Linked DNA regions of Ovis aries. The protein of the gene in region 1 interacts with the protein of each later gene in a pairwise test. Links are inferred from orthologs where the notes say so. Each region holds a gene or a part of one and is shown on either strand. Other genes may lie near its edges. The genes, in order: BNIPL, GFER and MIF.

What was found.
Region 2: the proteins of BNIPL (region 1) and GFER interact in a two-hybrid assay, tested with the Homo sapiens proteins (2 studies listed by BioGRID and IntAct). The link is inferred for Ovis aries from reciprocal best matches to the Homo sapiens genes BNIPL and GFER.
Region 3: the proteins of BNIPL (region 1) and MIF interact in a two-hybrid assay, tested with the Homo sapiens proteins (2 studies listed by BioGRID and IntAct). The link is inferred for Ovis aries from reciprocal best matches to the Homo sapiens genes BNIPL and MIF.

What each region holds. Positions count from the first base shown.
Region 1 is NC_056054.1:100,975,274-100,978,337, reverse strand, and holds part of BNIPL (bcl-2/adenovirus E1B 19 kDa-interacting protein 2-like protein), read right to left. Parts: intron 1,078-3,064; coding exon 895-1,077; intron 709-894; coding exon 606-708; intron 443-605; coding exon 311-442; intron 1-310. UniProt on the Homo sapiens protein: May be a bridge molecule between BCL2 and ARHGAP1/CDC42 in promoting cell death.
Region 2 is NC_056077.1:2,061,672-2,066,075, reverse strand, and holds GFER (FAD-linked sulfhydryl oxidase ALR), read right to left. Parts: upstream 2,823-4,404; 5' UTR 2,805-2,822; coding exon 2,553-2,804; intron 2,286-2,552; coding exon 2,089-2,285; intron 1,195-2,088; coding exon 1,032-1,194; 3' UTR 503-1,031; downstream 1-502.
Region 3 is NC_056070.1:71,339,067-71,341,798, forward strand, and holds MIF (macrophage migration inhibitory factor), read left to right. Parts: upstream 1-1,468; coding exon 1,469-1,576; intron 1,577-1,822; coding exon 1,823-1,995; intron 1,996-2,077; coding exon 2,078-2,144; downstream 2,145-2,732.

The DNA.
Region 1 (3,064 bases):
ACAGGTAGTAAATGATAAAGGCAAGATTTGAAACTAGATTTCCTTGACTCCAAGAGAGGACAGAAAATAGGAGAACCTTGGAAAGGGTTGTAGGCGGACAAAGGAAAGTGGAAGAGGGAGTTCCCTGGTGGCCCTAGTGGTTAGGATTCCAGGCTTTCACTGACAGTGCCTGGGGTTCAATCCTTGGTCAGAAAATGAGATCCCAGGGCCAAAAAACAAAAAAGTAGAAGAGACCGAATAGAAGAACAAAATAGAGAGATGAAAGAGAAAAGGATAAGAGAGTTACAGCCCTCTTATCCGAGAGGCTCACCGCCGATCCAGAGTGTGATAACACTGGCGTATCCAGCTCAGAGGTGGAACTTGTGCCCTACTTGTGCCTCCACTCAGGTGAACCAGCAGATAATTTTCAGCTACCAGCAGCTCCAGGGTTCCCACTATGTACCTGGACAGATGGAACTGTCAGGGAAGGTATGCGTTTGGGGTTGTGGGGAGTGAGAGGGACATTGCTGTAGACTTGACAGTCAGTTACTGATCAGAGAAGGGGTGCTTTTTAACATTTCCCTCTATCACATCCACTCTGGAGCCCTTTAAGCCTTCCACCTCACCTGAACAAGTGTTCCATGACATAGGTGTAGTTGGGGATGCTGCTTCTGGGTAGGTAACAGGAAGCAAAGAGGATAACAGCATTGAGGCCATCACCATGGTAGCCTGGGGAGGAGAAGGGGAAAACTCAATAAATAAGTGCTGATGGACAGTACATCTGTTTAGGTTGAGCATCTCTGTGGGTCTCTAGAAGTTGAAGGAAGGATTCTGAACCCAATAACTGAATTTCCAGCTTCAGCATTTTATTCAAGAAGTCACAGTTCTTAACCCTTCACTTATTATAGCCATTACCTCCATGAGATAGGACTTTCTTATAGGGCTCAATGACAGTCATGTCCACTCGCTGCTCCCGCTGTCCTATTCGAAACACCCTCCAGCGATGACCATCTTCTCCAGCCACATCCCACATACAACCGTGGCCCAGCCTTTCTGCTGCCTCACTGGCCCCTAGGCCCTCTGCCCGAGGCAGCTCATCTAAAGAGAGGGATGGGGAAGGATCAACAAGGCAGAATACGTAACTTCAGCATCTTGAAACTTCCTTAGATTCTTAGCGTTTATTACCCCAACAACTAATTCCTCATTTTCCCCCGATGACTAGCCCTGGTTTGTCCAATCAACCCAACCTTCTGCTGATTTCTCTTTCCTGTGACTTATCATCCTCACTTTGTCACTGGACAATGGCCTGGAGGCAACCTTGAACTATGGTAGCTTGATGGCCTCTGCCATTTTCCCAGATTCTTTCTTTCTTCTGATGCTTTTCCTTCCTTCCTTGGGTGAGCTCATTTGTTCCTGTGTCTTCAGTTACTGCCAGTATGGTGATGACTCCTCTCTAACCCAGACTTCTTTCCTGATACCAGACCCATATTCTTGAATGTCTGGAGTGGACACCTCTATTTTGTGTTTCTCTGTCATCTCCAAGTCACCAGACCCCAAGTGCAACTCACACTCTTTCTCTTCCTCCTCTTTCCTATATTCTTTCTTGATGAATGACCCCATCCATTTAACTGTCTGGGAGAGAAAATTCTATGCCATCCAAGACTCTTACTTCTTTACCATCCCTCAAGTCAGATCATCCTCCATCTACTTCCATTAGATTATAAATTATTCTTTCTGCTCTTACTGTCCTGGTATAACGTCTTAGCATTTCTTATCTGGCCTTAGTACTAGCCTTCTATCTCCCTATTCTTATCTGTTTTCCTCCATCCCACCCACCACTGCTAGAGCAAACATTTTTCCCTCCCCTCCCATTTTCACTCAAATAGCAATATTCTATATTCACTAAGTTTTTGCATGATTTTTCCATAGCCATAGAAAGAACTGCTTCATTTTTAAAAATAGTTGCATTCTATCCCATTGCATGGGTGTACAGTAATAGAATTAACATCCTCCTCACAGATCTTTAGGTTGCTTTCAATCTTTTAAAAGCCATTAAACCTGATCATGTTATTCCCTTGATTAAAACTCATTGCCTACAGGATAAAATCTAAGCGCCTTAGTATGGCAGCAGGGACCTCCATAATTTGACCCTTGCCTATTTAACACAGTCTTTTCTCACCCTCTTCACTGCCCAGTCCTTCAGATCTGTAATATAATAATATACATTTTGGTTTTGTTCCTGGCTTCTGACAATAAAGGTGAAAGTAGTATCTTTTCCTATTCATAACAGGTCTCTTTCAACCACACAAGTTTATGTTAATGAGGTGACTTTGGAAAGCTCCTATGGATGGGTGACTGGTTGCCAGGCGAAGTGACCATGATCAGGGGGATGAACTTTTGCCATCTGCCCTCTGAGAAGGGGAGAGAGATTGGAGGTCATGCTAAATCACGCATGGTCAGTGATTTAATCAGTCATGCCCACATATGATGCCTCCATAAAAAAACCCTAACTGAGACTTCCCTGGTGATACGACAGAAAAGAATCTGCCTACCAATGCAAGGAACATGAGTTCAATCCCTGGTCTGGGAAGATTCTACATTCCACAGAGCAACTAAGCCCAACAGCCACAACTCCTGAACCTGCACTCTAGAGCCTGCCCTGCTGCCACTGCTGAGCCCGTGTGCTGCAGCTGCTGAAGCCCGGGTGCCCATAGCCTGTGCGCACTGCAGCTGGAGAGCAGCCTCCACTTGTCCCAACTAGAGAAAGCCCACTCACAGCAATGCAGACCCAGCCCAGGCAAAGAACAATGCTATAAACAAACCCTAACTGAAGGGATTCTGAGAGGTTCCTATTTGGTGATACACAGAGGTACTGGGAGGGTGGTGCTCCCCTTTCACATAACTTGTCCTATGTATTGCTTCCTTCTGGCTGTTTCTGAGCTGTATCCTCTTATAATAAACCTGTAATCTAGTAAGTAAACTGTTTTCCCAAGTTCTGTGAGCTGTTCTAGCAAACTATCAAATCTCAGGAGGGTGTAGTGGGCACCTGTGATTTATCCCCTGTCAGTCAGAAGCACAGGTGATA
Region 2 (4,404 bases), on another chromosome or scaffold:
CTGCACCACTCACAGCCTTCTCATCTCAGACACACTGGGCAACTCCCTCCTTCCAGTGGCTTGGGCCAGAAGCCTGTAGTCACCTTGGACTCCACCTTCAGAATGTATCCAGTGATGTCTGCCACCCACCCTGGGGTGAGCTTCCCTCTCAGCTGCTGTGGAGTAGGTGTTCCTCCCTACTCTCGGCCACCTCCGCCACATTCCAGCTCAAGTCACACCTTGCCGTCCCTCCGCTCCAGATCCTCCACGATGCATGTTTGGTCAGAGCTGGGTGTCAGAACCACATCCTTACTGGGGCCTTGAGGACCTTCTGTCATTCAACCTCCCCTCCTCTGATCCACTCTCCCTCAGCTCCAGCAACTCAGCCTCCTGTTCCTGAATATCCTAGCCCACCCTGGCCTTGGAAAGGCCCCCTTCTCCTGGGGAGCCAGAACCCAGATAAGGAAGCAGCAGGCCTGTCCGCTGTTGCAAGTCCCAGCACAAAATACGCTGAAGCCAGGGCTTCGGTCATTTCTCCAGCATTTTATTTTGGTCTTGAGTTCCACGGAACCTGTAAGGCCAGAGGCCGGATTGGAGGTGAGCAGCAGAGTTCGGCCCATAAGCCTCTTTCCTGATGTGCAAACAGCGCACAGCCTCCGGGGCTACAGTCACTATCCCATGCTGTCCCTCACTACAAGGTGGGGAGACACTGGCCAGGCCTGAGGGGCGAGATGGTGGTGCCCAGCCAGGCCTGTGGGCTTCCTGTGTGGAGAAGGTGGCAGGGTGGGTGAGCAGGAGGCCAAATCCTGAAGGGAAGGGACGTCCTGGGCTGCCCCTGCCTCCCGTCGATAGCCTCACAGGCCCACAGTGAGGAGGCCACCACTGAGGTGCCTGCATCGGGCTCCTCCACTTCTCCTCTGAACCGGAGAGGGAGAGGGTTCCCAGGGCAGGGTCTGGGGACCACCCAACGGAGACACCACCGGCTCTGTGTGTGATGGCACTTTAATGAGCCCCGCCCCCTCTGGCCGGGCCTCCCCAGGCTCAGCCGCTGGCTAGTCACAGGAGCCATCCTTCCAGCCGTCGCGCCAGCGCTCGTCCACCAGTGAGCAGTCGAAGTCTGGCTTGCCCAGCTTCCGGTTCACCTCGTTGTGCAGACGGCAGAGCCACTGGGTGAAGCTCACCCGAGTGCGCGTGTCTGGCTGGTCCCTGTATATCCTGCGTGAGGGGGAGCACGTGCAGGAGGGGGCAGGCTGTGCTCCCAGCATGCCCGCCCCACCATCTTCCTGGCTTGCCCAATCCAGGGAAGAGAGCTGGGGCCTAGATTTAGGGGTGCCCTCATGCTCTGAGGAATTCCCAGAAGGGAGCTGACCCTCCAGCCTCAAGTCCCAGTTGACTCTTAGGCCTGCTCCAACCCCTACCTAGGGCACGTGGCAAACCCTGACAAGAGCCCCGGGCAAGACATTAAGGCACAAGGTCTCCACTTTACAGCCTCATAACAATCAGGAGGCCTCACCCTAGCGTCCCTGGCCCCAGGCAGCGTGTGGAGGGGCAGGGCTGGAATAAAGGCCTACCTGAAAACCAGGTCTGCTTCTTCACACCTTTGGCCCTACCACACCACCTCAGCAAGAGACCTCGTATAAATAAATGCCCAGGCTCCAAACAGCAAGGGCTGCCCTTTTTACCCCACAGCCAGCCCAGAAATGCTTATGGCTGCCAAACAACAGTTCTTGGGCTCCCCAAAAAGGTGGCTCTTGGAAGCAAAAGCAGTGAGTTCCCAAGGCCTTGAAACTGAAGGTCCTGCTCCAGAAGCTAGACAGAGTGGAGTCCCTGGAAACCTGCCAGAGTCTTCATCAGTGCAAAGCAAGGGATCTCATGAGAGTAGCCCTCCCGGGGAGGGAACTCCGTGGTTGCAGAAAGCAGCAGCCCCCAGCAGCAGCCCCAGGCCTGGCCTTTAAGGAGAAAGGCGATGGCTCCAGAATCCCTCCGCTGTTGGTGGTCCCTGCTCTAGACAACCCGCTGCCACGACGGCCTCTACTTCTCTAGGCTCCCCTTTATGGCATCTGCCAGGGGCCCCAGACCCAGGCTGCACACTCTGCAGACACGACTCACCTTTTCCTTATGTCTTCGGCACACTCTTCACACGGGTAAAACTTGGAAAATAAATGTATGAACTGGGCCATATCCTGCTGTTGCTCTGGGGTGGGCAGGTCGGGGTAGTAGGCAGCCAGGGTATGGAGGACAGCCCAGCTGTTGCGGCCCAGTTCCTCGCGATCCTGAGGGCAATCCTCCCTAAACTTGCTGTCCCGCTGTGGAAGGAGGCCGACCAAGGGTCAGTTCGGTTTTCCCCGACCAGAAACCTACAAAGTTCCCTATTTTTTTTTTTTCCGCCCCAGCCGGAGACCCACTGACCGGAGAAAAAGTCCTGGGGCCGATCCAGCCCACACATGGCCAAGAGCCAAAAGGCTGGGCCTACCTTGGGGGCACGGTTAGGAAGCGCCGACCCCCGGGGAGGGGGCGGGGAGCCTGTCCAGGGTGCCCGAGGACAAGGTGTGGGGGCCCCCCTACGCCTGCACCTTCTGCTGCGTGCGCATCCACGACTTGAAGTCCACGCAGGCCCGGCAGGGCCACCGCGGGGAGGCGAGCTCGGAGGCCGGAGGGTCGGACGCCGGCCCCGCGGATGGCGCCCGGGCCGAAGCAGCGGCTTTTCTCCCACCCGCGCCGCGGCCGCGCGCGTCCGTCACCAGGTCGTCCGTCACCTCGGAGCGCGCGCCGCCAGGAAGGAAGATCCCAGTGCCGAAGCGGCCGCGCTCGCTGGGCGCCGCCATGCCGCCCGCGCAGTGCCTGCCGGGCCAGCGCAGCCGCCACGACCGCAACCAGGCGGGCTCCAGGCCAGCGCGCGCGCCGCCGCCGCCAGAGCGCGACCGCAGAAGCCGGGCGCGCGCGCCGCGGACGCGGAGCTGGGCCCGGGGGCGGGGCCCGGTGCGGGGGCGCGGCTGGCGGCCCGGGTCCGCGCCCCGGGAGATGCAGGAGTGCGAACTGGGGACGCGCCGGAGGCCCGAGCCGCGGTTTGCGCGGCGCCGGAGCGCCGAGCCTTAGCCTTGCGCCTGGGCCTCGTTCCACCGCCCGAGCCGGTCTTGTGTCGGCCGTAGCACAGCTCCCGCTTCCTCGAGTATGTCACTGTGTTGTGGATGACGACCCATGGGAGCGACGCGGCTTCGGGCTGCGGCCTTCTGGACCTCCGTGTTGAGGCCCGCGACGGCCTCATCGCTCCGCTCCGACCTTCTCGCGTGCCTGCGGCTTGGCTCTGTGCCCTCCGCTGGGGGCGCGCCCGGGACCGGTGCTTGGCGCCTGGGCAATGCGGGGCGGGGCTGTGAGCGCACAAAGGGCGGTGCAGCTGAAGGTTCGGCGAGTCCGCCTAGGCGACCGGCGCCATCGCCACGGGTGCCCGCCTAGGCTGGGCGGGTCGAGCCTGCAAAGGAGGAGGTGCGTCTCTGGACTCCGGGGAGCACTGAGCAGCCCCTCTCCTCTCTGCTCAGCCCCACAGCCTACCTGAAGGGGTTAAACCCAGGTGGGGCGTGGTCTCAGGGATACCACTGCTTCCATATGTACTTTAATTCCACATGTACATTAATATGCACATTAATTGATTCTGCAAATACCTGTGTAGTGCCTGATCTGTCTTTAGCACTGCTCTAGGCTCTGGACAGGGCCAGGAGCAAGATTCATTCCTCCCTGACCTCCTCAGTCTAGTGGTCGAGACGGAAAAAACAAGAGTCACACTAATAAGTGTTTAGATACAAGCTGTGATGGAGGCTATGAACAGGGTGTGTTAAATCTAGGAGGCCTCCTTGAGGAGTTGACCTTTAGGCAGAGAGGCCTGAAGAATGAGAAATCAGCTGAGGAGGGTTGTCAGAGCCAACGCAGGAGGGAGGAGGAGCTTGACTTCCTGCATGGGCAGAAAGGCCAGTGTGGGACAGGACCTGGGAAGGGTGGTGTGAGCAGAGGTCCTGAGGTGGCCAGGAGCCCACTGAGGACACCATCAACTGACCCAGGAGCTGGGGATGTGTGCTGAGGACCCTGGGACAGTGCTGGGAAGTTTGGGGGAGGGTACCCTGGCCTGATCCCATTTCGGTTTTGCATAGATTCTTCTGGAGAGTGGATTTCACGACAGCAAGTGAGGACCACAGGCTTTGAGGGGGGAGCATGGAGCTGTTGTAGTGGTCCAGGTGAGAGGTGAGGGAGGGAATGTGGAGAGTGTGGAGAGCATCTCAGTTGGGGGGGGTGGGGAACATGGGTCAGCCATGCAGGGAGGGGCTGCAGCGTCCTTCTAGGTCCCTGGCTGTGAGCACACTGGCCCTTCTCCAACTTCTCTGTCTTCCAAGGGAGCAGGAGCCGTCCCACTCTGTACCCTACCAGGCCAGCGGC
Region 3 (2,732 bases), on another chromosome or scaffold:
CTTGGAGTCGCTTGGGTCTCTTCAGGTATCACTGGGCAGGTCACAGGACCGTATGGATTCGCTGCCCCCGGCGGCTCACGGAGACTGGGCGGGGCGGGCAGGAGGGGCGAGGACCGAGCACAGTGGAGGAAGGTCCATCTCACTGGCAGGCCGTCAGGGACAGGCGAAAGGCAAGCACCTGGATTTGGACATAGAGAACAGGCTGCGCGGGCTTGCCTGCTGGGGCTCGGGGGAGCCCCCGAGCTCGAGGCGGGCGTGGAGGGCATCCGTGGTTAACAGAGCCCCGGGCACAGGTGGCCGGCTGGGGTAAGAGCAGGGACGGAAGGGGCCTGGAGCCCGCCTTTTACAGAGCATCTGCCCAGCTGGGCCACGGGACCTCCTGCCTGAGTACACCTGGTCCCACTGGCATGGGGGCCGATGTCCAGGCCAGCATGTATGGGGCCCCCCTTAACCAAACCACGCCTGCCAGAGGCCAAGAGCAGGATCTCCCCAGAGAGATCTGAGACTTGGCCCAACCAGCACGCCGCCCCAGTGCCCGACAGAGCTCCGCTCCCCAGCGCAGCCCCGTGACCAAGGTCTCCTCAGAGAGGGAGCTGGGCAGCCTTTCTGCTCAGGGACGGCAGGGCCTGCAGGCTCAGCCCTGGCCCTGCCCTCTTCCTGCCCTCTCAGGGCTAAGTTCATTCACTCCTTCATTCAGCCAGTATTTAGTCCACGTCTCATATGCCTGGCACCTACGGGGTGCGCCCTGAGAGACCTCCCCCCCAGGGCTCTGTGAGACAGCACCCCCAGAAGACCTGATGGGGTGGGCTTCCCTGAGGAGCTGACATTTTCACCGCTGCAGAGAGGTAGCCCGGTGGACTGAAGCTTTGCGGACTGCCTCTGGGCTCCGTGTGCTCCCAGCCCCTCCCCTGGGCCCCTCCGGGCAATCTCACCCACTCCAAGAGCTGGGTGCAGGAAGGCCCCTGGATGGCGACGCGCTGTGGCAAGCGCTGCCCACATGCAGCAATGACCACCGCTCTGCATCACTCACACGCACAGACACACACGCACACACATACACACGCATGCGCGCAAGACTGTGCCCCTGGAGACTGCGGACACCCAAGGACTCCGCCTGCGACCTCCTGGAGGGCCAGGGGTCCTCTGTCCCGCTAACCGCTGTTCCCAGCACACAGACATCCCTGTGACTAAGCCAAAGGGCTGGCAAACCAGGGAGCGGCCGACTTCCGGCCGCCCGGCGGAGAACGGCTTGGACGGGGCGCGCGGGGCCAGAGGCGGTGACGTCACCGGCCGGGAGCGCGCCGCCGCCCGGGGGCGGGGCCGGCGGTGACGCCGAGGGAGGCGGGGCCACGTCGGGCCGGGGCTGGGCGGGGCGCCGGGCGGCGGTCACGTAGCTCAGGTTCCCGGGCTGCCTTGGCGCGCGCGTCGGTCGGGTCCTGCGTGCCGGTCCCCGCCGTCCCTCGCCATCATGCCGATGTTCGTGGTGAACACCAACGTGCCCCGCGCCTCCGTGCCGGACGGGCTCCTCTCCGAGCTCACGCAGCAGCTGGCGCAGGCCACGGGCAAGCCGGCGCAGGTCTGCGGGGAGGGCCAGGCGGGAAGCGCGGCTCCGGGATGGGGCCCCGGGCCGGGAAGGCGGGCGGCTCCGGGATGGGGCCCCGGGCCGGGAAGGCGGGCGGCTCCGGGATGGGGCCCCGGGCCGGGAAGGCGGGCGGCTCCGGGATGGGGCCCCGGGCCGGGAAGGCGGGCGGCTCCGGGATGGGGCCCCGGGCCGGGAAGGCGGGGGCGCGCGAGCCGGCTGACCGCGGCCCCTCGCCCGCAGTACATCGCGGTGCACGTGGTCCCAGACCAGCTCATGACCTTCGGGGGCTCCAGCGAGCCCTGCGCGCTCTGCAGCCTGCACAGCATCGGCAAGATCGGCGGCGCGCAGAACCGCTCCTACAGCAAGCTGCTGTGCGGCCTGCTGACCGAGCGCCTGCGCATTAGCCCGGACAGGTGCGTGGGCGCCGGTGGGTGGGGGGCGCGCGGCCCCGACGGCCCCCGCACGACCGGCTCAGCGTCGCTTCCTCCCTCGCAGGATCTACATCAACTTCTGCGACATGAACGCGGCCAACGTGGGCTGGAACGGCTCCACCTTCGCCTGAGGGACGCGCCACGGGTTCCCAGGGCCCGCAGCCCTGGCGCGCACGAGTTTCCCTCCCACCCTGCCCCCACCAACCCCGCCTCCCTGGAAGGAGCAATAAACGGTGTGGAGACGCCGGCTGCCTCGGCTCTTTTTGGCTTGCAGAGGAATCGGTGCAGGGCGGGGCCGGTGAAGGTGGAACCGAGGCCGGGACGTGTTATCCCCGGAGTCTGCAGCCTAGCTTTCCACGCCTCAGCCCCCAGTAGAGGGCCCTCACTTGGTTGGCATCCTGCCTGCACCCAGACCCAGGAATCCAACTCAGATCCAGAACCCTCCGTCCCCCCTCCCCACCCCGACCTCCCGCAGAGGCCCAGCCACCACGTGGGTCGGGGCTGGCGGGGGAACAGGGGGAGGGGTCAGAATCCCAGTAGAGGCGCGGAGGGGAGGAGAGAGAAACCTGGGCTCCGTCGGGGTCACTGCCTCGATGCCGCCGCCCACCTCAGTGTCGCTATTTGGGAAATCCCCCTGTTCTGGAACTTGGGAGCCACTGTCTGGTGTGGTGGCGGGGGAGGTGCCCGGAAGGTGGAGTTCCTGACGATGCCGCCCAGTC